Sus scrofa: one gene and its partners. The protein of the gene in region 7 purifies or fractionates together with the protein of the main gene of each other region. This does not show direct contact. Links are inferred from orthologs where the notes say so. Each region holds a gene or a part of one and is shown on either strand. Other genes may lie near its edges. The genes, in order: VAPA, MAP1S, MAP1B, RASSF3, RASSF6, SLMAP and STK4.

Region 1 (4,332 bases), on a different chromosome or scaffold from region 7:
GGTTGCTTATACTTTGATTTGGCTTTGCAGAGAATATGCATACTAAGGCTTTAAAAAATCTGATCCTTTTTCTAAATATCTAATACTTTAAAAATTTTGTGATTTTAGTTATTTACTTCTGGGAATCATGATTCTAGAGACAAAGAGTAAGTGGGTTGTTTAGAGTAAAAATGTATCTTGAGTGACTTTATTATTCAAATACAACCTCTTCCCACGTTAAGGACTTATTTGAGCCTCCTGACAATTTCCTACCATAGCTCTTGGCTTTGCTTCCCTGGACAGACATTTGATCCCTTGCTCATACAGGAGTCACGAGAATGTACCCCAGGTTTATATTCTTTTGTTCCTTTGTTCCTCCCAAGGTTTCATTGCAAAACCCTACTTTGCCTTATATTTTACCTTTTCCTTTCTGTCTAGTCCCTAAGCCCTTGCATATTCTAGTTATCTCCAAAAGGAATAACTTAGAATATTGGAACTGAAATTCTGGAGATGGCTGGGAAAAAAAAAAAAAACAGAGAAGTAAGTTCAACTCATAGATGGAGGGGGATTATTGCAGATAGGCTAAATAATATAGAATAGCGGAAATTGTACAAAATAATCATTTTTTTTACGACCTTGATCTTCAGTTTCTTCTAGTTGCAGTTTTAGATACTGTGTTAATGTCATGTTGCTCTTCATCATTGCCTAAGTCACAGCATGTCGAGTCCCTCCAGTTTGCTTGTTTCATGGTTCTCAGAACAACCAGTCTCCTCATTCTGGACCAGTCTGAAGCACCTCTCACCGAACACGCTGTTTTCCTGGAGCCAAACCTCCCTGTGGCGCTCCTGGATGGACGAGTGTAGTTTAGTCTCAGCAGCCTTAGTGTTTCCATCAGGCTCTTCAGATTGTTGCTACTCAAATGGCTCGTCCCCCCACCCCCTCAACCCTCCCACCCCCCATCCTGGTTAGGTTATGTGTGCTTCTACTTTAAATAAATTAATCTGTAAATAAATTAGACTTCTTTGCATCTAGTCTTTATGTTGACTGGTTTGTAGGGGCCTGAATGACACTGAGTCCATGATATAAGTACACTCAGTGTAACTTTTCCATGACTTATTTGGCTCATTTTTGAAATGTGTTTAAGCTTCACTGTATCTTTTGCATTCCAGTCTTCCCACATTTATGCTCCACAAATTGGTTATGACACTCAAATTGGTTTCTTCTCCTTTTCCTTATAAAAGCAACATAATAACATTGAGAAACATTTCAATAAAAAGAAAAATCTAATTCTGCCACCATGAGAAGATATTGATTAATGTTATTTAAAATCCCAAAGAGTGGGAAGCTACCCATCAACTAACAGGAGTGAGGTGTTTAAGTCATTTTGATAAGGCACAGGATAGAATATTTAATGACATCATGTCATTTAAAGTAATAGTTAAGGAGTTCTCATTGTGGCTCAGTGTTAACAAACCCGACTAATATCCATGAGGATGTGGGTTTGATCCCTGGCCCTGCTCAGTGGGTTGAGGATCCAGCATTGCCCTGAGCTGTGGTGTAGGTTGCAGACATGGTACAGATATGGCGTTGCTGTGGCTGTGGTGTAGGCAGGCAGCTGCAGCTCCCATTTGACCCCTGGCCTGCTCCTGTGGCCCTAAAAATAAAAATAAAATAATTAAAATAAGTTTGCATACATGAATGATAAAAGCATTACATGTATGCTGATTTTAGAAGCTATGCATATGAGGGAGTTACCATTGTGGCACAGTGGCAGCGACTCTGACTAGTATCCACGAGGATGCAGATTCAATTCCTGGCCTCGCTCATTGAGTCCGATTCCACCCCTGGCCTGGGAACTCACATAAGCTGCAGGTGCGGCTCTAAACAGCAAAAAAAAACAAAAGCAAAAACAAAAACCCCATGCATATGAGAAAATATTGGAAGATAATATATAAATAATGGTTATGTTGGGTTGATGAGAGGGTGGTGAGTTCCTCTCTCTTTCAAAATCCTCAATTTTCTGGAGTTTTAAGAATTTGTTTAAAAATTGAAAGCCAGTCGTGAAGAGTTTGAGGATTCCTCGTTTTAATTTTTTCCCCTCTGGTTGGCCTCTTGTACCCTCCTCTTAATTTTTTAGTTAACTTTCTGTGGTATTTTTGCCCAGACCTGAAGATTGCTCGGTTGCCCTGCTGTTGCCTGTTTGCCTTCATCTTTAGAGCAAGGTTTGCTCCATTTGCACAATTCTTGTTTTCTGAAGCCCACCCACTCTCATGGGTACTCATGTTCTGAGTTGGTAGAGAGCAAAATATATCTAAAACAGAATTTTTAATAATAGTGATGGGATCAGTGAGGACGACGGGAGGTTAGAGCGGACAACAGGAAAGACGGGAGAAGAAGACAGAGAACATTGAAGCAGACTTCCTAAAAACTCGTCACAGCTGGGAAGCTTCCGAAGAAAATGAAAACTCAGAATGTTGACCGGAACTTCATTATAATACTAGTAATTTTTACATGAATTTAGACAGCAGTGATCAAATCACATTCTCTTCATAAGAAATAGTAGTTTTGTCCCTTGAACAAACAGTATATACTTAATATAAAGTCAGGAGCTGGGTGCTGTGGCAGGTGTGTAACCTACAGTTAGACTGGTGAGTGCTGTGGAATGCTATAGTTGATTTTGGAAATGGTTTTTGTTAGATGTTTCTACCCTTCCATCTGAAAAGTTAAGGATGAGACTTGGTGCATGCATTTGGGTAGGGTGTGTGTGATGGTGTGGATGATTCTGGGGAAAGGGCGCTGAGGCCACAGGCTCAGGACCCTGACCTCTGTGTGTGTCTCTGAGCCTTTGCCACTGGTGTCATGCATGTGAGTTCTGGCAGGACTGAAGATTGGGGGCTTACAGATTTTTGTGTGTGTGTCTTTTTAGGCTGCACCTGCAGCATATGGAAGTTCCCAGGCTAGGGATCCAAATGGAGCTACAGCTGCTGGCTTACGCCATAGCAGCAGTGACACCAGATCTAAGCCGAACCTGTGACCTACACCACACCTCATGGCAACACTGGATCCTTAACCCACTAAGCAGGGCCAGGGATCGAACCTGCATTCTCATGGGTACTAGTCAGGTTCATTACCGCTGAGCCACAAGGGGAACCCCTGGGGCTCACAATTTTAAAAGTGCTTGAATACCAGTGTGATTTCCGTGTTGAATTCATAAGCAGGCGTGTTCTCAGTTATGGTCGTGTGTCCTTAACGTCATGAAACTGACTTTCGCCTTTTGTTCCCATGACACATCTTTGTCTTCATTATTTTCCCCTTCAGTGTTTCTATCCTTCAGCTTTTTTTTTTTTTTCCATTGGTAGAAGTTAGGTTTCCTTTGAAATGTTCTTTTTGGATAGTCTCATTTTATTGGAAGGATTGCAGTGAACTCCCCTTTTGCTCCAGAGCCTCCTTGGAAGTGCAGAGTCAGAGCACTGACAATGAACTTCATGTTTGGATTTTGGTTGGTGGCGCTTTTTGTACTTACGGAGTAACTGCTGTTGGCCCAAGTGCTGGATTTAGGGGTCAGTGTACAGAGAGCTGACTCTTGTCTCCCTGCCTTTGAGGTTTGGTAGGGAGGACACTCCGGGTCCACTATTGCTCTGTGGTGGAGTGAGTGCTCAGGGCCATGGGCGCACAGGAGGGAGTGTGCTGCTCCTGCCGACCTCCCTGACCGCCTGCCAACACTCACTAACTTAGTCCTGAAGGTGGACAGATGACTAAACATTTGGTATTTTAAAAACTTCCTAATAGTGAAATTGAAAATTGGGAAGACTTTTCATTTAAATAATTTTTTGGAGAAGGATGTGGAGTTTAAATTTTTGTTTAAAACCTGTGAGAAGATTGAGTCCTTTAAAAGAACTCCGATCCACTGTCTTTGTGATGCAGAACGACATGGAGCCCAGCAAAGCTGCGCCCCTGAACGCCGCCAAGCAGGATGGGCCGGTGCCAAAGCCGCACAGTGTTTCCCTCAGCGATGCGGACACCAGGAAGCTGGTGGAGGAGTGCAAGCGGCTCCAGGGAGAGATGGTGAAGCTGTCGGAGGAGAACCGGCACCTGCGGGTGAGTGCTTGCCATAGCATGGCCTGAGTGGGGCCAGGCGTGGGTGGGAGGGGCCGCTTGATGTCAGCCTTGACCGAAGCCTCTCCAGTTCCTTTTCCTTCCCCCAAGTGCGTTTCTGTCCTGGCCTTGGGCCCCAGCCTCTCACTGCCCACACGCTCCCTTCTCAGCAGCGGTCCTGGGCTTCCTCTTGCTCGTTCTGCCCTCAAGGTCTGTGCCCTGGTCCCATGCTGCCACATGGTGCTGTTCCAGGGTAGC
Region 2 (4,332 bases), on a different chromosome or scaffold from region 7:
AGGCACACACACCTACAAGAGTGTTAGGGCCCCCCCCACCCCAGGCTTATACAAGTTCTCTGGGGGCATCTGTGATTTACAGACACTCTGACCACCCCTCACCCCAGGAAAGCTAGAAATAGAACACATCCTGCAGCACAGTTAGTAGGGGGAGGAATATTCTACGTACCACTTGTGTTCTTCCCACAGGAGGGAGGTGGGCCCTGCTTTATAACACAGACTCTTCTATAACCAGACTCTGGTAGAAGCCTGTGAGCTGAGGCAGGGTGACCACCTTTGTCCCTGGTCACCTTGGAACCCGGAGTTAATTGAACGGAGGCCAACTGTCACGACCTCTGTCCTTAATAACATCTGGGATGTGGGCAAAGGCAGATTCTATTGGGAAGGCAAAGTGAACACCTCTGTCATTCTTACTGATTTGTTCTGTAATGAAACAGAACTGTACCATGACCATGGTATAATACAGTACAAACTTGGCCTTGCTAAGATTCAACCTGATGTGCATGGGTCCTATAATACTACTGATACTGCCAATCAAATGCACTGGGAGACTGAGCTAAAGCCTCCTCAGGATGTAATGCCTGTGGGAAATGCCTGGCCTGAGGAGGAGCTGAATCTGGCTAATCACCTACTGATTTCTGTGCTAAATAGTTGCACACAAGTTTACCATATGGAACAAGTAGCAGATGACATTTTTCTTTAAATCGACCTCTACCCGACACCAGCTTCTCCAAATGTCAGGCCTATTTGTGTTGGTACAATTGTTCTCTCTGTTCTACAGATGTTGCTGCAAGTGTAACTGCTGTAATAGGTATGATTGTTTGGCTGTAAGGGGTCTGTTTCACCGGGGAGCAGACTGTGATCTTGTGATTTACAAGAAGGAGATATATTTGGTCATCCTTAGATGTATTTGGTCTTCTTCCACAATTCCTGGCTCATAGCTCCCCAAACCCTTGGAATTTCCTGATCAATAAGAGCAATGGGAACATCTTTTGTTATATTTGGTTTCTCGTCCTCAATTACCAAAAACATTTCAGGGCCAAAAAGGTGACACAAGTGTCTCATTATTCAAAACAAGTCCTTTCCATCATAATCGGGTTTATGTTAATGAAGGTGACTTTGGATCCCACTCCAGGCTGGGGCCTGGTTGCCAGAACCAACTGTGCGAATAGACGGTTGGAACTTTCAGGCCTTCCCTCTATTTCTGGGGAGGAGAGAGGGGCTTGAGGTTGAATCAATCACCACAGACCAAACATTTAGTCTACCATGACTATGTAACAAAGCCTCCATAAAAGCCCCCAAAGGACAGGCTTTGGCCCTTTTGCAGAGAGCTTCCACATCAGAGAAACAGAACGCTTCGTGCCACCGTGCAGGGCCCCAAGCTCCATGTGGACATAAGATCCCTTGTTCAGAACCTTGCCTTATATATCTCTTCACTGTTCCTATCCTTTAATATCCTTTAATAATAAATTGGTAATCTAGGGAGCAAATGGGTTTTTCTGAGTTCTTTCAGCTACTCCAACAAATTAATCAAACCCAGTGAGGGGGTCATGGGAACCTCTGATTTAGTCAGTTGGACAGAAGCACAGGTAACAACCTGGCCTAGTGATTGGCACCTAAAGAGGAGGGCGCTCGTGGGACTGAGCCCTTTACCTGTAGAATGTGGTTCTGTCTCCAGGCATACAGTGTCAGAATTGAGGGGAACTGTGGCCTACCTGGCTAGTGTCTAAAAATTGGATCCAGGAACACTTTCTAGTGTGAGTGTGAGGCAGAGGGTGCTTACACGACCAGGCCCAATAGAAACCCTGGGCCCTGAGTCTCTAAGGAGCTTCCCTGGTAGATGGCCCTTTCCACATGTTGTCGCAGACACAGTGCAGATCTCAGGGAATGCACCACGTGGTACGTGATTCCACGGGGAGAAGGCTCCAGAAGCTTGTGCCTGGTTTCCCTGGGGCTTCCCTCCATGCCTTTCCCTATGTTGATCCTGCTCCATATCCTCTGCTGTTACTAAATTTAGCCATGAGCATGACCACACACTGAGTCCTCCCAGCCAATCATAAAATCTGGGGGTGGTCTTGGGAACCTCGACACACATGGGTTTAATAAAATATACTATTACAATATAACTTCACCTGGGAGTTCCCAGTGTGGCGCAGCGGAAATGAACCCGACTAGGAACCATGAGGTTGTGGGTTCGATCCCTGGCCTCGCTCAGTGGGTTAAAGATCCAGCCTTGCTGTGAGCTGTGGTGTAGGTTGCAGGTGCAGCTCAGATATGGCGCGGCTGTGGCTGTGGCATAGACCAGCAGCTATAGCTCCAACTGGACCCCTAGCCTGGGAACCTCCGTGTGCTGCAGGTGCAGCCCTAAAAAGCAAAAAATAAAATAAACTTCACCTGTTTCCGTAGCTTAACATGGCTACGGAAAGAGTCACCATGATGGATGTGCCCCCATTACTTTTCCATTGAGAGTACTGCTTGAGCACCTTGGAATTGTAAGAGCTTAAACAGTCAGGCTAGTTTCCATTTGATAGGAGAAACTGAGGCCCACTGGGGGTGGGGGGTGGGGAGGAAGAGTAGCTAAGACCACACAGCAAGTAGGGAACAGGAGGACTTGGGCAGGGAGCCCAGTGCAGGACTCCAGCCCCCAGGCACTTACCAGATGAACCTCGAGTGGTCATCTTGGGGACCGAGGGCTTCCTTGACAGGGGTGCCCGACTTCCTTTGTCACTGGGCTCGCTCCGGGCGCTGAGTGGCCGACTGGCCCGGTCCCCACTGGCCAGCCCCTTGGTTTTGGCAGCAGTCCCTGCAGTGGCTTTGGGGGCGGCAGTGCCGGGGCTGGGGCGAGTGAGGGGCTTCCGGGTACGGCTGAGGCCCTCTCTCAGCCGAGCCTGCTCCGGGGGCAGCATCTCAGGGTCCACCATGCAGATACTGGGTGGGGTGGGTAGTGGTGGGGGGATCTTGAGGGGATCAGGTAGTGGGTCACGGCGAGGGACTCCAAAGCCCTCTGTGTCCTCATCTGAGTCCGCGGTTCCGGGGCCAGCAGGCAGGGGGTCCGAGTCAGAGAGGGTGGGCAGGGACTCACTGACGGATGTGGGTGGCGTCTCCTCGGCCCCTGGAGCGCCTGCCCGTTCTTGGGACCGGGCGCTGCTGTCATTGGAGCTGCCAGGAGATACGGGTGCCGGTGCCATGGGCACGGCCTTGCGGTGCTCAAACTCACATGGTGACACCAGGCACAGGTCCACATCATGCGGGGAGGCTGAGCGCCGCACCCGAGGGCCACAGAGTGGGAGGCTCAGCCCGGCTTCGCTCGAGGTGGCAGGCGGTGGAGGGAGCACCTGCTCAAAGGAGACGGAAAGGGACTCGTCCACCTCTGTGGAGTGTGGGGAGCCCACCTCAGCGGGTAATGAGGGCGTGGTCACTGTGGGGGAGGCATCTGGCCCTGCCTCTCCACCACGCAGTGGGCTCAGTGACAGTGGCCCACAGCTCTCAGTTTGGCCCTGGTGGGCTCCGGCAGGAGAGGGCGAGCACGGCTGGGGGGTGTTGGTGGCCAGCAGCAGCTCCAGTGTCTTCTCCTCCAAGCTGCCGCCATCCTCCCCAACCGGGCTCAGCCCCAGCTCCAGGCTGCTCTCCTGGCTGGGGGTGGCCACGAGCTGAGGGGCTGGGGAGCCACAGGCTTCTGTGGGGGGGCTGGCCTCTCCACATCGGAAGCTGGGAGGGCTGCGGGGCCCATTCTCTGCCGGTGGGACACCAGGGCGTGGTGTGTTGGGTGCTCTGCGGGGCTTGGGAGCAGCTTGGGCACCCGCCTTCTTGCTGCTGACCACAGCGGAGGCCGTCCGGCGTACCTCCCTTGGCTCCCTTGCCCGAGGGGCACTCAGCTTGGGGTCCTTCTTCACCTCCCGGGGGGGCCTGGCTTCTTTTTCAGCCCTGCGAGGGGCCTCGGCCCGCGGGGGCTCCTTTCGGGTCACCCCGGGGCGCTCCTGGGCAGGCCTGGAGGGCACCGTGGCCCGGCCCTCTCGCCTCAAGCTGTCCCGGGAGCCGACGCTTTCCTTGCTCTCAGCTCGCCGAGGCCCTGCCAGGTCCTGGGGGGTCACCACAGGCTCCCGCAAGAACCCCAAGTGCTGCAGGCGGACCAGGCCATCCAGGAGGCGAGCAGGAGGCGTGCAGCCAGGGAACAGCACTCGTACCACCTTCTCAGCGGGGCCTGCTGGGTGCCACACCAGCAGGGCGCACACGGAGGCCAGTGTGTGGTCAGCAGCAGCCGAGGGTGGGTGCAACACGTACATGTCCAGCCGGCCCACACCCATCTTCTGGAAGAGCACTGTGGGCTCGGCC
Region 3 (4,332 bases), on a different chromosome or scaffold from region 7:
AGAAGGATCTAACTGGCCAGGTGGCCACCCCTGCTGTGAAACAGGTGAAACTGAAACAGAGGGCTGACAGCCGGGAGAGTCTGAAGCCAGCGGCGAAACCCCTTCCCAGCAAAGCCGTGCGAAAGGAGTCAAAAGAAGAAACCCCTGAAGTCACAAAAGCTGCTCAGGTAGAAAAGCCACCTAAAGTCGAAAGCAAAGAAAAAGTAACGGTGAAAAAAGACAAACCAGTGAAAACTGAGACCAAACCTCCCGTGACAGAAAAGGAGGTGCCCAGCAAAGAAGAGCTGCCTCTGGCCAAAGCCGAAGGGGCTGAAAAACAAGGTGCAGACGTTAAACCCAAAGTCGCCAAGGAGAAGACAGTGAAAAAGGAAACCAAGGCAAAACCAGAAGAAAAGAAGGAGGAGAAGGAAAAGGAAAAGCCAAAGAAAGAAGTGGCTAAAAAGGAGGACAAAACACCCATCAAGAAGGAGGAAAAACCAAAAAAGGAAGAGGTGAAAAAGGAAGTCAAAAAAGACATCAAGAAGGAAGAGAAAAAAGAAGTCAAAAAAGAGGTTAAGAAGGAAACCCCACTGAAGGAAGCCAAGAAGGAAGTTAAGAAGGAAGAAAAGAAGGAAATTAAAAAGGAGGAAAAGGAACCCAAAAAAGAAATCAAGAAGCTTCCCAAAGACACAAAGAAATCCACGACTCCTGTATCTGAAGCAAAAAAACCAGCTGCATTAAAACCAAAAGTACCCAAGAAGGAAGAGCCTGTCAAGAAAGAATCTGTTGCTGCTGCCGGGAAGCCAAAGGAGAAGGGGAAGATTAAAGTCGTTAAGAAGGAAGGCAGGACAGCAGAGGCTGCCGCTGCCGTCGCCCTGGGCACCGTGGCCACCGCAGCGGCCGTGGCGGCTGGGATGGCGCCCGCTGGCCCCGCCAAAGAACTCGAAGCCGAGAGGTCCCTTATGTCCTCCCCCGAGGACCTGACCAAGGACTTTGAAGAGCTGAAGGCCGAAGAGGTCGACGTAGCAAAAGACGTGAAGCCTCAGCTGGAGCTGATCGAAGATGAAGAGAAACTGAAGGAAACCGAGCCCGGCGAAGCCTATGTCATCCAGAAAGAGACCGAAGTCATCAAGGGTCCCGCCGAGTCCCCCGATGAGGGAATCACCACCACAGAGGGGGAGGGCGAATGCGAGCAAACACCCGAGGAGCTGGAGGCCGTCGAGAAGCAGGGGGTGGAAGACACTGAAAAATTTGAAGACGAAGGAGCGGGTTTTGAGGAGTCTTCCGAGACCGGAGACTACGAAGAGAAGGCGGAGACAGAGGAGGCTGAGGAGCCGGAGGAGGATGGCGAGGAGAGTGTGTGCACACGCACATCCAAGCACAGCCCCGTGGAGGAGGAGGAGGAGAGCGCGAAGGCTGAGGCCGACGTGCACATCAAGGAGAAGAGGGAGTCCATCGCCAGTGGCGACGACCGGGCAGAGGAAGACATGGACGAGGCCTTGGAGAAGGGAGACGCTGAGCAGTCGGAGGAGGAGGGCGAGGAGGAGGAGGACAAAGCTGAGGATGCCAGGGAGGAAGACTATGAGCCCGAAAAGGCTGAAGCCGAAGACTACGTGATGGCCGTGGTCGATAAGGCTGCAGGGGCTGGTGGTGCCGAGGACCAGTATGGATTCCTCACCACAGCCGCCAAGCAGGTGGGAGCCCAGTCTCCTGTCCGAGAACCTGCATCTTCAATTCATGACGAGACCTTACCTGGTGGCTCGGAGAGTGAGGCCACCGCTTCTGATGAGGAGAACCGGGAAGACCAGCCCGAAGAATTCACTGCCACCTCCGGCTACACTCAGTCCACCATTGAGATCTCCAGCGAGCCCACCCCCATGGATGAGATGTCCACTCCTCGAGATGTGATGAGTGATGAGACCAACAACGAGGAGACAGAGTCCCCGTCTCAAGAATTTGTAAACATCACCAAATACGAGTCTTCACTGTATTCTCAGGAATACGCCAAACCTGCCGTGACATCACTCAACGGACTGTCTGAAGGGTCAAAAACAGATGCCACTGATGGAAAGGATTACAATGCCTCAGCCTCCACCATCTCACCACCCTCATCCATGGAGGAAGACAAATTTAGCAGATCTGCTCTGCGTGATGCCTACTGCTCTGAAGACAAAGAAGTGCGAGCCAGTGCCACGTTGGAGGTCAAAGACACCGTCTCTGCAGTTTCCGATGAAAAACTTAGTCCACCCAAGAGCCCGTCCCTGAGTCCATCTCCGCCATCACCCATAGAAAAGACCCCTCTGGGTGAACGCAGTGTGAACTTTTCTCTGACACCCAATGAGATTAAAGTCTCAGCAGAGGCGGAAGTAGCCCCAGTGTCTCCTGAGGTGACCCAAGAAGTCGTTGAAGAACATTGTGCCAGTCCTGAGGATAAGACCCTGGAAGTGGTGTCTCCATCTCAGTCTGTGACTGGCAGTGCTGGCCACACACCTTACTACCAGTCTCCCACTGAAGAGAAATCTGGTCACCTTCCCACAGAAGCCATTGAAAAACCAGCGGCAGTCCCAGTCAGCTTTGAATTCAGTGATGCCAAAGATGAGAGTGATAGGGCTTCCATAAGCCCCATGGATGAACCTGTGCCTGACTCAGAGTCTCCTATTGAGAAAGTTTTGTCTCCTTTACGGAGCCCACCGCTAATTGGATCCGAGTCTGCATATGAAAGTTTTCTAAGTGCCGACGACAAGGCTCCTGGTAGATACACAGAAAGCCCCTTTGAGGGAAAGAATGGAAAACAAGGCTCTCCAGACCAAATAAGTCCAGTTTCCGACACGACTTCCACTGGTCTTTTCCAAGACAAAGAGGAAGGGAAAAGCACAGACTTTATACCAATAAAGGAAGATTTTGATCAAGAAAAGAAAACTGACGATGTTGAGGAGCTGAGTTCTCAGTCAGGACTGGCTCTGGATGAAAGGAAGTTAGGAGATGTTTCTCCTACACAGATAGATGTCAGTCAGTTTGGATCTTTTAAGGAAGACACTAAGATGTCCATTTCTGAAGGCACTGTCTCAGACAAGTCAGCTACCCCTGTTGACGAGGGTGTGGCAGAAGACACATACTCTCACATGGAGGGAGTGGCCTCGGTCTCCACAGCTTCTGTGGCTACGAGCTCATTTCCAGAGCCAACAACAGATGACGTGTCCCCCTCGCTGCATGCGGAGGTCGGTTCCCCACATTCCACCGAAGTAGACGACTCCCTTTCAGTGTCTGTCGTGCAAACGCCCACCACTTTCCAGGAAACAGAAATGTCTCCATCTAAAGAAGAATGCCCCAGACCAATGTCAATTTCTCCGCCAGACTTCTCCCCTAAAACAGCCAAGTCTAGGACACCAGTTCAGGATCACCGATCTGAACAGTCCTCCATGTCTATTGAGTTTGGCCAGGAATCCCCTGAGCATTCTCTTGCTATGGACTTCAGCCGACAGTCTCCAGATCACCCTACAGTGGGTGCAGGTATGCTTCACATCACTGAAAATGGGCCAACGGAGGTGGACTATAGTCCTTCTGACATGCAGGACTCCAGTCTGTCACATAAGATCCCACCAACGGAAGAGCCGTCCTACACCCAAGATAATGATCTTTCTGAGCTCATCTCAGTATCCCAGGTCGAGGCTTCCCCATCCACCTCTTCCGCACACACCCCTTCTCAGATAGCTTCTCCTCTCCAAGAAGATACTCTATCCGATGTTGTTCCTCCCCGAGATATATCCTTATATGCCTCCCTCACCTCTGAAAAAGTGCAAAGTCTGGAAGGAGAGAAGCTCTCACCGAAATCCGACATCTCTCCACTCACGCCGAGGGAGTCCTCTCCTTTATATTCCCCGAGTTTTTCAGATTCTACCTCTGCAGTCAAGGAGAGCATTGCCGCTTGCCACGCTGCCTCTCCTCCACCGACGGATGCAGCATCCGCAGAGCCCTATGGCTTCCGTGCCTCGATGTTATTTGATACGATGCCACACCATCTAGCCTTGAGTAGAGATTTGGCCACATCGGTCATGGAGAAGGACAGTGGTGGGAAGACACCCGGCGACTTCAGCTATGCCTATCAGAAGCCGGAGATGACAACCAGGTCCCCAGACGAAGAGAGTTACGACTATGAGTCTTATGAGAAAACTACCCGGGGTGCAGATGTGAGTGGCTATTACTATGAGAAGACAGACAGCCCTGCCAAATCCCCATGTGACAGCGGCTACTCCTATGAGGCCATTGAGAAAACCACCAAGACTCCTGAAGAGGGGGGCTATGCCTACGAAATTACTGAAAAGGCCACACGGAGCCCCGAAGAGCCTGGGTACT
Region 4 (4,185 bases), on a different chromosome or scaffold from region 7:
CAGAGGCCCAAAACAGTGTATAATTCTTGCAAACTAATTTTGCAGCAGAAGGACATTCATATAATTAATTATCAACTGGTGAGAAATTTTGAAAAGAAACCTAGGGCAGGAAATGAACTCCCTTTAGGAGATAAAAATTCCAAAACATTTCCACTGCATCATGAGTAGTAACCCAGGCCACACTTGCAAACTAGATTCTTCTGGATATTTTGGCAAAAAAGATTTTACATAGAGCCATCATTTTTATTGTAACATTTTCACTTATAAAGCAGCTGTGGCACTTGAAAGGGTTTTTTTTTCCCCCTTCATGGACTGGTAACAGCCATGCGCCTACCTCACTACCTCACTAGCACCTCTAGGGGGCAGTGCAGCAGTAAAAACACTTGCCTTCAGCAGGCTTGGAGGCCTATGAGAAGCAGTCCTGCACCCATACCCATCCGGTGGGTCACATTGACCACAAAATGCAGATACTTGAATGTTGAAAGTGGTCTGTTCTAAGAATGGGAGACCTCAGAGCAGGAGTGGGTGGTGGAGAAAGAGGATTTCTAAGGAAGGGCCAATGTTCTACTTGGGTAGTGGTCACAGGGCAGCCACTTTACAGTAATTCTTTACATGGTTCTCATGCTTTATACCCTTGCAAATGCATGTATATGTCATAATTGTCTCCTGTGGGCAGACACTCACCTATGGTTATTTTCCCCAGAGGATAAGGCAAAGGAAAAATGACATTTGGGAGAAGAACTGTGCCCCACTCAAGCCTAATGAAAGTTGTCAGGTGCCGGCCCATGTTCCTGTGTCCCCAGTTACCTGCACAAGTAGCTCCTCCCACTCCTGTGACTTTCTTTACCTGGTGCATTACCATAAATAAAAACACACAAACATCAATTAACAACTTCAACTTTTAATAATGGAAACAATTTGCCATTCCAGAAACAATTTTAGAGAAGAAAACTCTTCCCCATAAAAATAAACTTAAATTCATCAAAATTATAAATATTATAATTTTTTTACTTCTGTGATTTAAAATGCTCCCCTGCAATACGACCCCTTCATTTAACCTCGTTCCTGTACCATCACATATTGAAGAGAAAACAGTATTACAGCAAAGCTTAATAGTTTAACATCAGAATTTGTACAATGATTTTAAAAAAATCTTTGGCCTCAGTGGCCTTTTACACATTAAAAATGCTGCTGCAGTCGCCAGTGTTTTGGGAAAGACCGTCGGTCTTCAAGAACCATGAACCAACAGGATTGCGACACAGTTTTCCAAATTGCGACTTGTAGTGCACATGACAGTGAGCGAGGTCCCGGATAATGCAGATGAGGATGCCTAATTTAGACAATCTACTTCAAGTAAAAAAAAAAAAAAAAAAAAAAAATTCACAGATACCCATCAACTACTATATTAAGGTTCTAACAGTGTCTGAATCTGAGAAACATAAGGCTTCACAAAATAAGCGCTTACTGGGATGGGTAATTAAAAGACCAGGTGGTTGATAACAGTATCCTCACACCCAAGCCATTCTCTGAATAGTAAAACCAGTACAAAAATCATGAAGGCATTCCCTGAACAATGAAGGTAAAGTGTTAGATGACAATGTCACTAAAACCTCATTAATGCACGAAAAAGAAGTTGCATGCAAAATTAAACAAGAGGTGCCATACATATTTTATAGCTAGTTCTACTTTTTTTTTTCTTTCCAACTTTCCTTAAAAAGCTCAGGAAGATATGATTGTCTCAGTAATGCATGTGGCAAAGCAGAAGCGACACTTACATCTGCCTCCAACAAGAAGGGTGTTCTCTGAAAAGTCAGAAGGGCCACCACAAGGACCAAAGAAATGCAATAAAAAAAAGCCACAGTTCACTGAAGAGGCAAAGAACTGAAGCACCTTGGAATTTCAAAAAGAATCCATTAGGTGTCACCAAAGTGTTAACAATTCCTTGGGAATTTATAAACAAACAATATCTAGACTAAAAACAGACTGTAAGGCCACTCCAGAAGCACAGCACAACTTTCCTGTTGTTTTCAGATTAACTGCTGTGTAAAATGAGGTTATTTCACTTGCTCCGAGGAAGGCTCCTATTGCACACGCACTCTTTGGTTTGCAGGAACATGCACTTGTGTGAAAACACCTCCATAAAGAACCCCCTCCTGTGTGGTCAAGTGGGGGGGCTGGTGGACGCTACCCTCCTCCTTACAGTCAGGTGGTCACCCTTTGGAACTGAGGATCTGACAGTCCTGGGTCTTTAACCCACACCACTGTTCCGCTCTGTGTAAGATGAGGCTTCAACTTGTAAAACAAAGGGAGAAGGGAAAGAAGTGAGTACAGGGAAGGAGGGAGGAGCGAGGGGAAAAAAAAAAAGGGAAGCCGAGGCAGAGGAGGGAGGGATTGTCACCAAAGTGTGCCGGGAGCTCTTCACCGGATCGACCTCCCGGCTGCTAATAACTGGGGGGCGGGGGGGGGGGGGGTGGTGGCAAAAAGCCGCCTCCTTCCCAAACTCCTTTTCCACTTTGAAAAGGACCTGGGAGGAAAGCTGTGACGTCACAGGAGTCATCGCAGATGCTCAGGGCCCACGGCCCCACGGCCCAGAGAAGCGGCACCCATCGGACCGCGCACCCCGAGAAGAGAAGGCCGAATGGGGGCTGGCAGCTGAGAGGGCAGCTCTGTCCCGTGTGAATATCCACGCTGGGTTCCCTGCTCCGCTGCAGTCAGCCCCTCCTTCCGGTCTAGCTCCTACTTTCTTTGGTTCTGTTCCCACATTTGACTCGCCAGGAAATCAAGCCATAGACAGTGGGTTTAAGGTCTCTAAACTGAACGTCTCAAAACGGAAAGCGTTTAACTCATCGACAAGCAAATTCACCTCCTCCTCTACCCTCCACTCCTGGCCCAAACCACCGTCCCTCAGGGCTCCCCGCCTCCACCCACCCTCTTCCAAACTTACTCTTCACTTTCTTGGTCAGACTCCTCCAGAATCCTTCACCAACTCCTCAGAGGTCCTAGCTTCCTGTGCCCTTCAATTCCCACAGATTGTTTTCTCTGACATTTAAAACACCAAAACCCCCTAAACCAACAGGTAGTTTCAACATAGGATAAGTATTCCAACCGATTCCTTGCTAAGCTTCCACCGAAGCACCGGCACAACCTTCAGCTTCACATCCTCATCACATCCTAAGGACAACGAGCTAAAAGAAGAAGAAAAACAAAAACACCACCCAAGAGTCCATGCTTCAAAGCCCCCCAAAATGCTCCAGATGAGACTACAGGTTCACAGCTTGCCGAGAGGTAAGACCGCGGTGCCGAAACGGAACAAGCGTGCAGGATCCCTCCCGGAGGGCGCCGAAGTGCTGCGTGACCAGCGTGGGGAACTAGGCCTAGAAATTTCGTTCAGGGGAAAGGCCCGAGCATCATGGGGCAGGAAAACCGCCCTCCGACAAGAGAGACACCAGCTGCTGGGTTTGCACGCAGGTCCCACGCCGTCCCCGAGCCCGAGGGGCAGGGAGCCCCCACGCGTTACCCGGGCTTCCACGCCTCGCCGAGGGCTTCTTCCAGCTTGTGTCTGTAGGCTGCGTAGCGCTCCTTCAGGTTCTGCAGCTGCTCATCTTCTTCCTTGTCCAAGATCCGCAAGAAATTCTGTAGCTCTGGCAGGCTGAAGGCTTCCCACTGTGAGAGGACACAAAAACCGAAAAATGCCAGGTGGTCAATTCAGCGTCAAGACTTAGGAATGCGGACCACGAGCCCAGGGAGGTGACCAGAGTTCTCCGAAGTCCTGGTTGGCAGGAGGAGCCTCCCCACTAGCCCTGCCTTCCTCTCCCCAGGTGCAGCCCTAAAAAAAAAAAAAATCTGGCGTTGTCACTGCACTGCTCTGGTCACAGCTGTGGTACAGGCTTGATCCCTGGCCCAGGGCACAACCAAAAATAAAGCACTTGGTCCTGCTTTGAGATGGAAAGGCATTTACAGGCAAGAAGCAATGTTCAGTTTGGACTTAACACAAGGAGAGTCACACACCCCTCCAGCAAGCATCTATTGAAGAAATCCTAGAACAAAAGGCAGCAGAGCAGTCCAAGCTGGAAGCCGAGGGGCTGAAAGTCCAGGCTCTGAAGGATCCAGGCCTCTCCATCCCTTGAGCAGATCTCTAGATGAGTAGTAAATCTCGCTCTAAGGCTGTTGTTCTTGGGGAGCAGG
Region 5 (4,332 bases), on a different chromosome or scaffold from region 7:
AAAGGATCACAAGTGGTCACAGCTCAAACTGATTTGTTTTCCAACTTTTGCCATTTCCATTAAACTGATTCAATGTGACTCATTTTAGAGGTAATTAGAACAAATGAGCTTGACAAACAGACAGTCCCCTCCAAAGGTGAGTTGAAAGGAAAGATTGCAGCCCTTCTGCAGCTGAGTGTACAACTTTTATATCTTTTATTCCACAACTGCCTACTAGAGATATTAAATCGCTGATCCTGTGAGAGGAGAGGTGTAAGTTCTGCAGCCAGAAACCCCGTGTGGGAAAAGGAACAAGAAGAAGTGTCACAGAGTGAGTGTGCAGTCTCCTTCTCTACACAATTCCCTTTAAGGCTTAGAATTTAAACAAATACCATGTTAAGGATGGCAAACAGAGAGAGAGTGTCTAGGATTGGATTGAAACAAAGGACACACCTTAGGTGGCTTGGCACCCACGGGAATCAGAAGCCGAGAAAGAGCCATTTCAAATTATGCTGCCCCTTCCTTCCGAGGATTCTGTTGGTTCCCACAAAGATTAGCACATTAGCTAATTAATTAGAAGATTAAATCTGCTAATTAATCACAACTGAATCTAACCTTGATCATGTGTGTAAGAAGAGTGGGACCTTTCTCTGATAATTCTTACCCACCAGAAAAATCTGATACAATACGAGTGTGCATTTAACTTCAAATGTTCTCCCAGTAAGTCTCAGTACAATGGCAAAGGGCAAGCCAAGTTTTCTAGGATAGTCTTTCTCAATTTTAAACTAAAGAAGATAATTCCTGTTTGATTCACAGCATTGTTCTGATAAATAATGAAAAAAGGCACATAGATTCCTTGGAAAACACAAAATAAGGATATTAATTTATCCTCTTCTGCAGAAGAAGGAAAGGTATTGACTTACCTTGTCTACCTGGGCTCCTGAAACTCATCCCCAAGTTCAGGGTTTCTAGGAAGTGTTTTGAATTTTAATTTGAGAAAAAAAATATATATATATATTGGGATATCCATTCAAAATCCTGATGGCTTAATGTATAATACAAGTAGCCTACTGCATCTCCTTAACATCTTCCCACAGTGTTCAATAATAATCATTTTTTTGTGATTCAAATAATTAAAATGCATTCAAAGGAGCTGGCTACTCACGGAAGTTTGTAATAAGTTCTTAAGTAATACGAAGAATGATGGCTAATTTTGCCAAATTCAAAGCTGATACAGTTTCCTAAAAGGAGGGCCCAGGGTTAATTTCTACTTCTAAATGATGCTCCTGGTCATTCAGAATCATTAGCCCCATCAATCATCTAGTACCTGAAGGTGAGGGATGCAGGACTTCACCAGGCTGCCTCAGTCTGTGGTCTCTCTTCTGCTCTTTCATAAGTACTGGGCCCCTTACCCATCTTTAGTTTGGATGGGTAACCAGTCAACAATGGGAGATGGAGAGACAGTTCACCCAACAGAGCAAAGGTAATTTAACTACCAGGATTCTGCAGGTTTCAGTCAATACTGTATTTTGCATGCCCTCTTTGCGCCCTGGGATAGAGATGCTCCTTATCCCGGAGGATTTCACAGGCTAAACGGGGAGGCAGGTGCATAAAAATACAATTAACAGCATGCTCAGAAAGTGATATAGAAAAGTGGTAGGAGTTACCGTTGTGTCTCAGCAGGTTACAAACCCAAGTAGTATCCACGAGGATGCCAGTTCGATCCCTGGCCTTGCTCAGTGGGTTAAGGATCCAGTGTTGCCATGAGCTGTGGCATAAGTTGCAGATGCTGCTTGGATCCTGTGTTGCTGTGGCTGTGACGTAGGCCTCAGCTGCAGCTCTGATTCAACCCCTAGCCTGGGAATTTCTATATGCCACAGGTACAGCCCTAAAAAAGCAAAAAAAAAAAAAAAAAGGTGTTACTGTACCAATGTACCTACTACTGACTGAAGGGTCAGAAAAGCCTTTCTGACAACTTAGAATAGATTTACAAGGAGATCCTGCTGAATAGCATTGAGAACTTTGTCTAGATACTCATGTTGCAACAGAAGAAAGGGTGGGGGAAAATGTAATTGTAATGTATACATGTAAGGATAACCTGACCCCCTTGCTGTACAGTGGGAAAATAAAAAAAATATTAAAAAAATAAATTAAAAAAAGAAGGATACAAAAAAAAAAAAAAAGAAAAGCCTTTCTGGAGAATATGCTACTGGCCAAATCTTAAAGGATTGGTGGAAGAGTCTAGCTAATGGGTGTCAAGAAGTAGTAGGCGATTAGGAAGAGAATCAGGAAAATAAGAAACTGACATGTGTAGGGAATTACAAAATGTTCAGAACTGGTGAAGCCTCCTGTTTGGGAAAGAATGGCAAGGTGCAAATCATAGCAGGACTTCAGTGTTTTCTCCAAGGGAAAAGGGGGGCCTCTCTCAAGGTGATACCTGATTTTCCTTCATTCTGGCCAAAAGTGAGATGGAAGAAAAAGTCCTGGGTGCTCTCTCCATCCTTTTAGAATTCCAGTCATCTATTTATGGATGGGAGATGGATGGAGAGAAGGCCTGGTACCTCCAAGTAAACACAAAAGGGAGATGAATTAGAGAATCAGAGGTTAAATAGGGAAGAAGTGAGGCAGGAAGACAACAAATATTCATAATGCATGATTCCTTTGGGAATATTTATTAATATTTCTGAGAATTGTAAAGGATAATGAAAATATCAGTCCGACTCATATATTTAAGGTTCAGTTGCAAAAATCCACACAGAGAACTGTTTTGTGCACTTATTGCACTTCAAATGCACTTTGTCCTGATCCAGTTCAACAGGACCCAGCAATAAGATGGAACATAATTGTCTCCTATCTAGAAGGCAAGAAAAACCCTTTGTCCCAAGGAAAGAAGGAATTTAAATTTTATCCTCCCTGTTTTTGGTGACAAGTCCAGGACTAATGAAATCTTGCCTAGCTGTCTTTTCTAGGTAAAGAATGCAATCTTCCAGGAGAGGAGTGCAGCCGAGAGGGCAGAAGCTCTGGCCCCCATACACCTGAGGTCCAACCCAGTTCTGCTACATGGTAACTGAGAGTCTTGTATAAACTACCTAACCTCTCAGAGCCCTGGTTTCTGAATAACTGCTTCCTAGAGCCATGGGGATTAAGTGAGATGGTCCATAAGCATTAGAGCTTTCATCCTCGAGAGTGCACATAACAAGGGTAAATATGAAGATCATCTTCTAAGGAATTTAAACCATAAAAGATAGCTCACCTTTTGGAAAAGACATCCGGTGACTTTAGCGCAGTAAAAGATGGGATCTGCTTCTCATCTTGTATTTTCAGTTGTAGAGGGCGCTTTACTCCCCAGAAAATGTCCAACAGCCCTTCCACAATTAGTTTACCATCTTCAGTCTAAGGAAGAAACCAATCATCTCAAACATTGTTTTTGTATCATTTACAGAGGGAAAGGTTTTAACTGAAGATGTAGAAGTGAAGTCTGTCAGATATATTAATAGATAAAAATAAATTCTTGGGTAGGACTGTTTGGCTTTTAAATTTATCTACAGAACGGTTTTAGTTTTGATGCATTCTCTTATTTCTTAAAACAGCTAAAACCAGCCAAGTGGGTCATAATGACAATGACATGCCCACCAGGGGGCATAGTATGCTAAAATTTTAGCTTTCTGAACTCTTAGTTCTTCATTTAAGTGAAAGTTTAATTCTCTACTTCTATTTACCTTAAAATTTAAGCAGAATTAAAAACTGTACTGAAGTAGAAATCAGAAGAACAGCTATTGAGTAATTTCGTGGCTGTTTTCTCATTTCTGACCAGGAAAAGTATAGCTCGCAAAATTATTATGCAGAACAAGTGAAATAATACAGGTAAAGACAGTGTAAAATGCAAAACAGAAACTGAATATTTGAAAAAGATCAATAGTACCTGAGTAGTCTCCTTTAAGTCAGAAATATTATAACAGAAGAAAGAAATTCCATGCAAATAAAGAAAAATTAGTAAACATGGTGGAACACTTATTTTGTGGATGTAAATATTAATACCAAGGCACATTCTCATAGAACTTATTTTCTAATCTATTTCGCTTTTGTACATGTAGATGTCTGGTTTTTTTTTGGTTTTTTTGGTCTTTTTGCCTTTTCTAGGGCATATGGAGGTTCCCAGGCTAGGGGTGGAATCGGAGCTGTACCTGCTGGCCTATGCCAGAGCCACAGCAATGCGGGATCCGAGCCACGTCTGCAACCTATACCACAGCTCACGGCAACGCTGGATCCTGAACCCACTGAGCAAGGCCAGGGATTGAACCCGAAACCTCATGATTCCTAGTCGGATTCGTTAACCACTGTGCCACGATGGGA
Region 6 (4,332 bases), on a different chromosome or scaffold from region 7:
GAATCTAATAAAAAATGATACAAAAGAACTTTTTTACAAAATAGAAGCAGACTCACAGATTTCAAAATCAAACTTACGGTTACCAAAGAGGAAACGTGACAAGGAAGGATAAATTAGGAGTTTGAGATTAATATATATACACTACTATGTATAGAATAGATAACTAACAAGGACCTACTAGTACAGAAGAAGAAAATATACTCAATATTCTGTAATAACCTATATGAGAAAAGAATCTGAGAAACTATAGATATATGTATTAACTGATTGACTTTGCTGTACGCTGAAACTGACACAACATTGTAAGTCAACTATACTCCAATAAAAATTTTTTTTACAAAGTGAAGTGGGGAAAAAAATATTACTGAGGTTCAAGGTGTTGGGAATTTCTCTGAGGTATAACTGCAAAGTAACAGGAATTGAAAAATGGTCATATAAAATATACATTAAGGGGGAAAAAAGTAGTTATGTTCCTATATTAACAGATGTGTTTTGGGACTACTTTAGGTGAACTAGAGAAGTTGAGAAAGGAATGGAATGTATTGGAAACCGAATGCCGTTCTCTAAGAAAGGAAAATGTTTTGCTATCATCAGAACTACAGCGGCAAGAAAAAGAATTGCACAAGTATGCAAGAACTCTTTTTTAGTTTCAGAATATTTCTTTATCTTAAATTTTCATCTAAATTAAATTTAATTTTGATACTTAAATAGGTTTTTGGAACAAAATATTTAGCCAGGCTATTTTTGGCTATTTGGCAGGTTAACTATGTTAAATGACTACATCAGCATTTTTTTCTGCCACCACCATCATCCTACATCCTTTCCTTTTGGTGTACTCATGGAATACAGATTCATTAAATGCCCCTTCTTCCACCCTAAAGCCCTAAACAGACAAACAGCAAAGATCTATATTTAGTGACTGAACTTGCCCTTTAAACTAAATAATAATAAATTGCAAAAACTAAGTTTGTCTTTGTTTCTTGTGAATGATCCCTTCTGTTTATGAGGGTGATCAGAAGATAGCTGTAATAGGAGTTTCCGTCATGGTGCAATGGAAATGTATCCAACTAGGAACCATGAGGTTGCGGGTTCGATCCCTGGTCTTGCTTAGTGGGTTAAGGATCCAGTGTTGCCGTGAACTGTGGTGTAGGTAGCAGACGAGGCTCGGATCTGGGATCTGGCATTTCTGTGGCTGTGGTGTAGGTCAGCAGCTATAGCTCCGATTAGACCTCTACCTAGCCTGGGAACCTCCATATGCCATGGGTATTGCTCTAAAAAGACAAAAAAGAAGAAGAAGATAGCTGTGATAAAGAATTGATACTATTGAAAGATAAAATTCAGCCTTGGAATTTTTTGTTTGTTTTTGGTTTTGGGGTGGTTTTTTTTTTGGAATTTCAAACAGTTATATAAAGAGTGATAATGTATAAGATCAAAAATTCTTTAAAACCAGTTAAATATTTCCAATATCCAGTACCTTAAGGCAAACCAATGAATGCAGTAGATTTATTGCACCAAATTCAATAGAGTCCTATTTTTCATCAGCATTTGTTGTATAGTTTAAAATTTATTTCTTCCTTAAAAATTTGATCCATTACATGTTTTTTAATTTAAGCTCTATTTACATTCTAATCCAGAATATGAAAGTAGTATATGTTTATTATTGAAGCTATTTTTTTTATTCTTTTTTTTTTTTTTCGTTTTTTCTTTTTTTGCTTTGCTTGTTAGAGCTGCACCCACAGCATATGGAGGTTCCCAGGCTAGGGATCTAAATGGAGCTAGTACTGCCAGCCTACAACACAGCCATAGCAACGCTGGATCTGAGCCGTGTCTGCGACCTACACTACAGCTCATGGCAACCCTGGATCCTTAACCTACTGAGTGAGGCCAGGGCTTGAACCCGCAACCTCATGGTTCCTAGTCGGATTTGTTTCTGCTGCACCACTACGGGAACTCCAATTATTGAAGCTATTCTTGATTAATTCATCTCCCCTCCCACAGTACACCAAAAATGGGGTCATTGCTCTCTTGTTAGCTTTGTGTTTATACTCCTAAAGAGCATTAAGGTTAGCAAAAACTCAGTGATCAAGGTCAGTTCCCATAGGAAACAAGCTTTAGGGAAAAAAAGGACTAGACTTATCAACATGAGTTATCAGAAAATAGTAATCTCATTATCTCATAAAAACAGGGACAACTGTAATATTAGTTATATATTTAAAAAATCAAGAACCTGGAGTTCCCGTCATGGCGCAGTGGTTAACGAACCCGACTAGGAACCATGAGGTTGCGGGTTCGGTCCCTGCCCTTGCTCAGTGGGTTAACAATCTGGCGTTGTTGTGAGCTGCGGTGTAGATCGCACATGTGGCTTGGATCCCGTGTTGCTGTGGCTCTGGCGTAGGCTGGTGGCTACAGCTCCGATTGGACCCCTAGGCTGGGAACCTCCATATGCCACGGGAGCGGCCCAAAGAAATAGCAAAAAGACAAAAAAAAAAAAAAAAAAAAAAAAATCAAGAACCAGTTGAAGGAACAAGGTGTGCTGACTTATTCTCTAAAACTCCTTATTATACCATATGTGCTCAATATCAGTATTTTTCAGGCATTTTTTTCTCTTACAATGTCCTGTCTTTCCATAGTCTGTTCTATGTGCATTACTTTTGAATGTTAATTAATAATAGAGAATAAGACAAATGCATGTTTAAAGCAATTTCAGAATATGAATAGGACAAAATAAAGACCTGAAACATAAATAAATAAGTAAATAAATAAATGTGCTCACACAGGCATACACATACACATGTATGTTCTCAAGTTCTTCATATTTGGAATTCATTTGGAGCCATTTAGTTTTGTATTCTATCAAGCCAGAAATACTGATATTTGATTACCAGTATTATCTTACTTTTTTTTTTTTTTTTTTTTTTTTGTGACCACCTCTACGGCGGCATGTAGAAGTTCCCAGGCTACAGATCAAACCCAAGCCACAGTAGTGACAACATCAGGTCCTTAACCCACTCTGCCACCAGGGGACTCCTCTTAAATTATTCTTTTTTGAAATTTTTGATATTTTAGGGGTTCAGACTTGATCCCTTAATTTTGAGATATGATTAATTGGAATCTGGCGATTGTTAAATGTTATTTTTTTAATTCAAGTTTTGTTTAGTTTGTAAAATACTCCTTATGAATTTAAGTCATATGGTTTAAAAATATTAGGCACCAGAAAGGTGAAATATACAAAACATTGATCAAGTTATCTATCTAAATTCACATGACTATTTAAGACATATTAATTCTGTTTTTTAAACTTTTCTGGCTTAATAGTTCTCTAAATTTATTTGTGGAGCACCCCCAGAATATAAGTAGTATTAAGAAGCTAGTCTTCCTTTACAGGGGTCTTACATGCCATTTAGTGCCTAGCCATACTGTCCTGACATTACACTCACACCCTAGGATCTGCCTAGCATCCAGTCAGCATGGGAGTTATACGCTATAGTACTTTGGTTACAATACTGAGACTGAGTCTTATGATCCATCCTAAGAGTGTAAAACTGCCATCTAGATGGGAGCCAAATTCTTCAATGTAGCTACACTATACAGGTCTTTTGTTCTTTATTGTCTAATATTTAGAAGGAAGTGAACAAAGAATTTGTGTTCATGCCTCTCAAGCTGTTTTCCTAGAGTGTAAATCAATTTTTTTTTTTTACATCAAGTTGTAAAAGTAATCATAGAGTTTAAGCTGGAAAAAGGAGTTCCTTTGTGGCACAGTGGGTTAAGAATCAGTGTTGTCACTGCTGTGGTTCGACTTTGATCCCTGGTCAAGAAACTTCCACATGCCGAGGGCGTGGCCAAAACAACAACAAGAAGGAGAAAAAAAAAAAAAAAAAACAGGAGTCCCCGTCGTGGCTCAGTGGTTAATGAATCTGACAAGGAACCAAGAGGTTGCGGGTTTGATCAGTGCCCTTGCTCAGTGGGGTAAGGATCCGGCGTTGCCGTGAGCTGTGGTGTAGGTTGCAGACGTGGCTCGGATCCCGCTTTGCTGTGGCTCTGGCGTAGGCTGGTGGCTACAGCTCCGATTCAACCCCTAGCCTGGGAACCTCCATATGCCACAGGAGTGGCCCAAGAAAATAGCAAAAAGACAAAAAAAGAAAAAAAAAAACATGGAAAACAGCTTGGGTTCAAACTTACTGTTTGACAGTGGAGATCACTAAGACTCTCCTTGTGTTATTTGTGCCTGCAAAATGGTATCTAGGACAGATCTAAGAGCTCAGGAAATGCTTACTCAGAGAATGAAATGTGACCAGTTAGGCGACTTGCTCAACATCTCACAACTAAATAATG
Region 7 (4,332 bases):
TAATGTATATAATATTATATAAAACATGTATATTATAAAAAGAAATTATATATGGACAAATGAATGTACACACATATATTTTTTTCTTTTTCATTTCTTGATTTCACATGTAGTACATGCTCACACAATCCATCCAAGTGTTACAGAAATATGCAGGTAGAAAGTAAAAGTCCTTAGTGATTCTGTCTTCTAGATAGAGCTGTTGTTAATAGTTTGATGTATATTCCTTGGAGATTTTTTCGCTATCCATATAACAGCAATATTTATTATTATTGGTTATTTTTTTTTTAAATTATTGTTCTGATCATTACTTTTCTTCTACAAAGACAAGGCTATGTTATATGTAATTTTGAATCTAATATTTTTGCTTCACAGTGTGTCTCGTACATTTTTCCCATGTCAGAAAAATGTATCTAGGAGTTCCTGCTGTGGTGCAGTGGACTAAGCATCCAACTGCACTGGCTCAGGGCACTGCAAAAACATGGATTTAATCCCTGGCCCAGTGCAGTGGGTTAAAGGAATCCGGCGTTGCTGCACCTCTGGTGTAGTTTGCAGCTGTGGATCAGATTCAGTTCTGGCCCAGAAATGTCCATATGCTGCTGAGGCAGCAATAAAATTTAAAAAAAAATGTATCTAGCTCTTTTGTTTTGTTTTGTTTTTTCTGGGGTCACACCCGTGGCATATGGAGGTTCCCAGGCTAAGGGTCCAATTGGAGCTGTAGCCGCTGGCCTACACCACAGCTCACAGCAACGCTGGATCCCCAACCCACTGAGCAAGGTCAGGGATCGAACCCACAACCTCATGGTTCCCAGTCAGATTTGTTAACCACTGAGCCATGCCGGGAACTCCTAGCTCCTTTTTTTTTAATGTGGTGTTTCATTGTGTGGATATTTATTGTACTTAACTTGTTGCCTTTAGTTGGTAATTCGTGTTGTTTCCTTTTTCTTTTCTCCTTTCTATTACAAATATTTCTGAAATACTTATGCATATATCTTGGGGTACTTATACATAGGACACATTTCTAGAAACAGATTTTTTTTTATGGCTGTACCTGTGACATATGGAAGTGTCTGGGCCAGGGATTGAATCCAAGCCACAGCTATGGCAATACCGGATCCTTAACCCACTGAGCTGGGCCAGGGATCGAACCCGTGCCTCTGCAGCATCCCGAGCCACTGCAGTCAGATTCTTACTCCATTGCGCCACAGCAGGAACTCTCAGAAACTGATTTTGGTCAAAGGATATGGACGTTTAAATTTTATAAATGTTGCCAAATTGCCTATTATCAGTACTAGTTATTGTTAATCTTTTTAATTTTTGTCAATTTCATTTTAGTGGTTTTATTAATTGATTGTTATTTTTATGTTTAAATAATTGAGACTCTTTTACATGTCTGTGTCATTTGAATTTCTTTTGTGGCTGCTTGATCGATCATGCTTCTTTAATATGGTTTTTGTGTGTATTTCAAGTCCTAGTCGTGTCTTCTTGTTGGTTTGGACAGGACTCTCTTTCCCAGTAGTTTTAATGCTTGGTGTTGATCTTCCTCCTTTCTATTTTAGGATACCATGGCCAAAAGAAATACAGTGATAGGGACACCATTTTGGATGGCTCCAGAAGTGATTCAGGAAATAGGGTACAACTGTGTGGCAGACATCTGGTCACTGGGAATCACTGCCATAGAAATGGCCGAAGGAAAGCCGCCGTATGCCGATATCCATCCAATGAGGGTAAGAACATGGACAGAATATCAGCGGGGTGGTTAGTTACCAGTGATCATTAGAAGGTTGGTTCAGCGACTTACTTGGTTAGGTACCAAACAATAAATGAATTAATTTTAAATAGTTGATAAGTGTCAGTCTAGACTCCAGTTGTACACTTCCATTAGTTGTAGTCACTTATGAATTCAAGTGTAATCCACTCCTCTCCATTCCAAAGATTGTGTACTCGTAGCCCTCTGGCAGGACATGGGCCAAGAAATGCTTGGTTTGACTTGTGCATTGTGTGTGTTTTTAATAGTTCAGGTTCTCGCGTTTTAATATAACAGCATTAACTGGAGCTGAGGAGCAGTCCTGACCTTCATACAGGGGCGTGGGCTTAGCACTTTCCCAGTCTCCACGATTCCGTATTCACCAAGTACCAGTTATTGCTTATTGCAGTGTTTTCTGTTTTTCTTATAATAGTATTAAGAGGAAAGCAGACTGTTTTTTTGAACTCATGTCACTAACACCCAGCCTGATTCATTTGTTGTCTTTTTCCTGTCTCGTCCTTACATGAGTGAGTTCTGGAGGCTCTGTGCTTTCCAGGCTCCATCCGCTTGTGGAGTATGAAGGGCCCATAGAGTCATTCTCCATTGAAACTCCTTCTGTGTTGATAGCTAAGCAGTTTCCAGGCTTCAGCCACCATAGAACCCCCCTCGTCACAGCACTGTTGCAAGAGCTCAACCCGGCCTTCAAGGGCTCCGTAGTCCTCTCCAGACTGCCCATCCCAGCTCCTCCTCTCCTCTGATTAAGTAGTCCTTCTGTCAAAAGACCTAACAGTTTTTTTTAAAAGTATTTGTGTGAAAATAATATATATACAAAATAAAGTATTCGTGTGCTCAAAGATAAGCTCCGTCTTTGTAGGGGGCAGAAGTGGAGAAGGATGGGAAGATTTACTGGTTATATTTTTAGATTGAATGAATATAATGTAAGCTGCTTATTGCAGAGTTTTATTTTTTCTAGAAACTGTACTTCTTTTATTGGAAACACGATAAATAATATAGGCATACCTCGTTTTATTGCACTTTGCTTTATTGCTTTTAACAATTGAAGGTTTGTGGCAACCCTGCATCAAGAAGTCTGTTGGTGCCATTTTTCCAACAGCATTTGCTCACTTAACGTCTCTAGTCAACATTTTGGTAAATCTCGCAATATTTCAAACTTTTCCATTGCTGATATATTTGATATGGTATCAGTGATCTTTGACGTTACTATTTCAAAAAAAGATCATAACTCACTGAAGGCTCAGATGATGGTTAGCATTTTTAGCAATACATTATTTTTTTTAATGCAGGTATATACATTGTTTCTTTAGACATAAAACTATTGCACACTTAATAGACTACAGTATAGGGGAAGCATAACTGTTATATGCACTGGGAAACCGAAAAAATCATGTGATTTGCTCTATTGCAGCAGTCTGGAACTGAACCTACAGTATTTCCTATAGTTTTATTTTTTTTGGAAATAGTAGAATTTAATTGCCATGTAGTAGGCCAATTTTTTTTCAAGTATGTAGAATTAATGTGGCTTGGAGGCTGATGACTCTCTTGTGATTTGGGGGACTTCTAGGTTTATGACCTCCTTTCAGTCACTTTTTTTTTTCTCTGCTTTTTAGGGCCGCACACACGGCTTCTGGAGGTTCCCAGGCTAGGGGTTAAATCGGAGCTGTAGCTTCTGGCCTATGTCACAGCCACAGCAATGCGGAATCCCGAGCCGTGTCTTCGACCTAGACCACAGCTCACGGCAACCTCGGATCCTTAACCCACTGAGGGAGGCCAGGGATCGAACCTGCAACCTCATGGTTCCTAGCTGGATTTGTTTCTGCTGTGCCACAACGGGAACTCTGCAGTCACTTATTATATCCAGGGGTGGTGGTAACTTTTAGGGAAGAGGGAAACTTGACAGCTACAGGGCTGGGGTTCTCTTCAAGATGTTGATGTTTGGTCTTGCCTTTTCACTTTGAGTGGCAGTGTACTTTGGTCAGCAAAACCCCCAAAAAGCTTGCTGGATATCGTGAGGTTTATGGGACGAGAGTACAGATGAAAGAGGGAGAGAGAGAGAGGGAAATCAGAGGGAGGAAGAGGGGGAAGGAGAGCTCTATCAGCTTCTCTAATTGTCATAACTTCCTTCTTTGAGATACTCAGACTTTCATTGCAATTTGGGGGCTTATAGTGGGGAAGAGAAAAACCATTTCATCAAACTTCCAATGTATTTCTAGTCATATTTTTATTGGAGCATCACTTTCACTTTGCCAAATCTTTTTTTTTTTTTTTTTTTTTTTTTTTTTTCTTTAGGCAATCTTCATGATTCCTACCAACCCACCTCCCACATTCCGAAAGCCAGAACTGTGGTCAGATAGCTTCATGGATTTTGTGAAGCAGTGTCTTGTAAAGAGCCCTGAGCAGAGAGCCACGGCCACTCAACTCCTCCAGGTAGGAATCAGCCTGGGGTGCAGCGGTTTCACTCACAGGCTGACCAAAAGATGCTGTTAACCCACCTACATGGAGATGGTATAAGATATTCCCTGCCTCTAGGCAGGTTTAAATGTGAATGCTTAGAAAAGATATAGAAA

The links.
Region 1: the proteins of STK4 (region 7) and VAPA purify together in Homo sapiens (affinity purification with mass spectrometry; 3 studies listed by BioGRID and IntAct, counting the BioPlex papers as one, with this or other methods). This does not show direct contact. The link is inferred for Sus scrofa from reciprocal best matches to the Homo sapiens genes STK4 and VAPA.
Region 2: the proteins of STK4 (region 7) and MAP1S purify together in Homo sapiens (affinity purification with mass spectrometry; 3 studies listed by BioGRID and IntAct, with this or other methods). This does not show direct contact. The link is inferred for Sus scrofa from reciprocal best matches to the Homo sapiens genes STK4 and MAP1S.
Region 3: the proteins of STK4 (region 7) and MAP1B purify together in Homo sapiens (affinity purification with mass spectrometry; 5 studies listed by BioGRID and IntAct, with this or other methods). This does not show direct contact. The link is inferred for Sus scrofa from reciprocal best matches to the Homo sapiens genes STK4 and MAP1B.
Region 4: the proteins of STK4 (region 7) and RASSF3 purify together in Homo sapiens (affinity purification with mass spectrometry; 5 studies listed by BioGRID and IntAct, with this or other methods). This does not show direct contact. The link is inferred for Sus scrofa from reciprocal best matches to the Homo sapiens genes STK4 and RASSF3.
Region 5: the proteins of STK4 (region 7) and RASSF6 purify together in Homo sapiens (affinity purification with mass spectrometry; 5 studies listed by BioGRID and IntAct, counting the BioPlex papers as one, with this or other methods). This does not show direct contact. The link is inferred for Sus scrofa from reciprocal best matches to the Homo sapiens genes STK4 and RASSF6.
Region 6: the proteins of STK4 (region 7) and SLMAP purify together in Homo sapiens (co-immunoprecipitation; 3 studies listed by BioGRID and IntAct, with this or other methods). This does not show direct contact. The link is inferred for Sus scrofa from reciprocal best matches to the Homo sapiens genes STK4 and SLMAP.

Annotation. Positions count from the first base shown.
Region 1 is NC_010448.4:98,215,987-98,220,318, reverse strand, and holds part of VAPA (vesicle-associated membrane protein-associated protein A), read left to right. Parts: intron 1-3,903; coding exon 3,904-4,077; intron 4,078-4,332. UniProt on the Homo sapiens protein: Endoplasmic reticulum (ER)-anchored protein that mediates the formation of contact sites between the ER and endosomes via interaction with FFAT motif-containing proteins such as STARD3 or WDR44.
Region 2 is NC_010444.4:60,018,720-60,023,051, forward strand, and holds part of MAP1S (microtubule-associated protein 1S), read right to left. Parts: coding exon 2,657-4,332; intron 1-2,656. UniProt on the Homo sapiens protein: Microtubule-associated protein that mediates aggregation of mitochondria resulting in cell death and genomic destruction (MAGD). Plays a role in anchoring the microtubule organizing center to the centrosomes. Binds to DNA. Plays a role in apoptosis.
Region 3 is NC_010458.4:48,486,628-48,490,959, forward strand, and holds part of MAP1B (microtubule-associated protein 1B), read left to right. Parts: coding exon 1-4,332. UniProt on the Homo sapiens protein: Facilitates tyrosination of alpha-tubulin in neuronal microtubules. Phosphorylated MAP1B is required for proper microtubule dynamics and plays a role in the cytoskeletal changes that accompany neuronal differentiation and neurite extension.
Region 4 is NC_010447.5:29,110,595-29,114,779, reverse strand, and holds the end of RASSF3 (ras association domain-containing protein 3), read right to left. Parts: intron 3,664-4,185; coding exon 3,514-3,663; 3' UTR 886-3,513; downstream 1-885.
Region 5 is NC_010450.4:69,790,091-69,794,422, forward strand, and holds part of RASSF6 (ras association domain-containing protein 6), read right to left. Parts: intron 3,373-4,332; coding exon 3,233-3,372; intron 1-3,232.
Region 6 is NC_010455.5:39,705,025-39,709,356, forward strand, and holds part of SLMAP (sarcolemmal membrane-associated protein), read left to right. Parts: intron 1-507; coding exon 508-625; intron 626-4,332. UniProt on the Homo sapiens protein: Associates with the striatin-interacting phosphatase and kinase (STRIPAK) core complex, forming the extended (SIKE1:SLMAP)STRIPAK complex.
Region 7 is NC_010459.5:47,407,841-47,412,172, forward strand, and holds part of STK4 (serine/threonine-protein kinase 4), read left to right. Parts: intron 1-1,559; coding exon 1,560-1,727; intron 1,728-4,054; coding exon 4,055-4,192; intron 4,193-4,332. UniProt on the Homo sapiens protein: Stress-activated, pro-apoptotic kinase which, following caspase-cleavage, enters the nucleus and induces chromatin condensation followed by internucleosomal DNA fragmentation.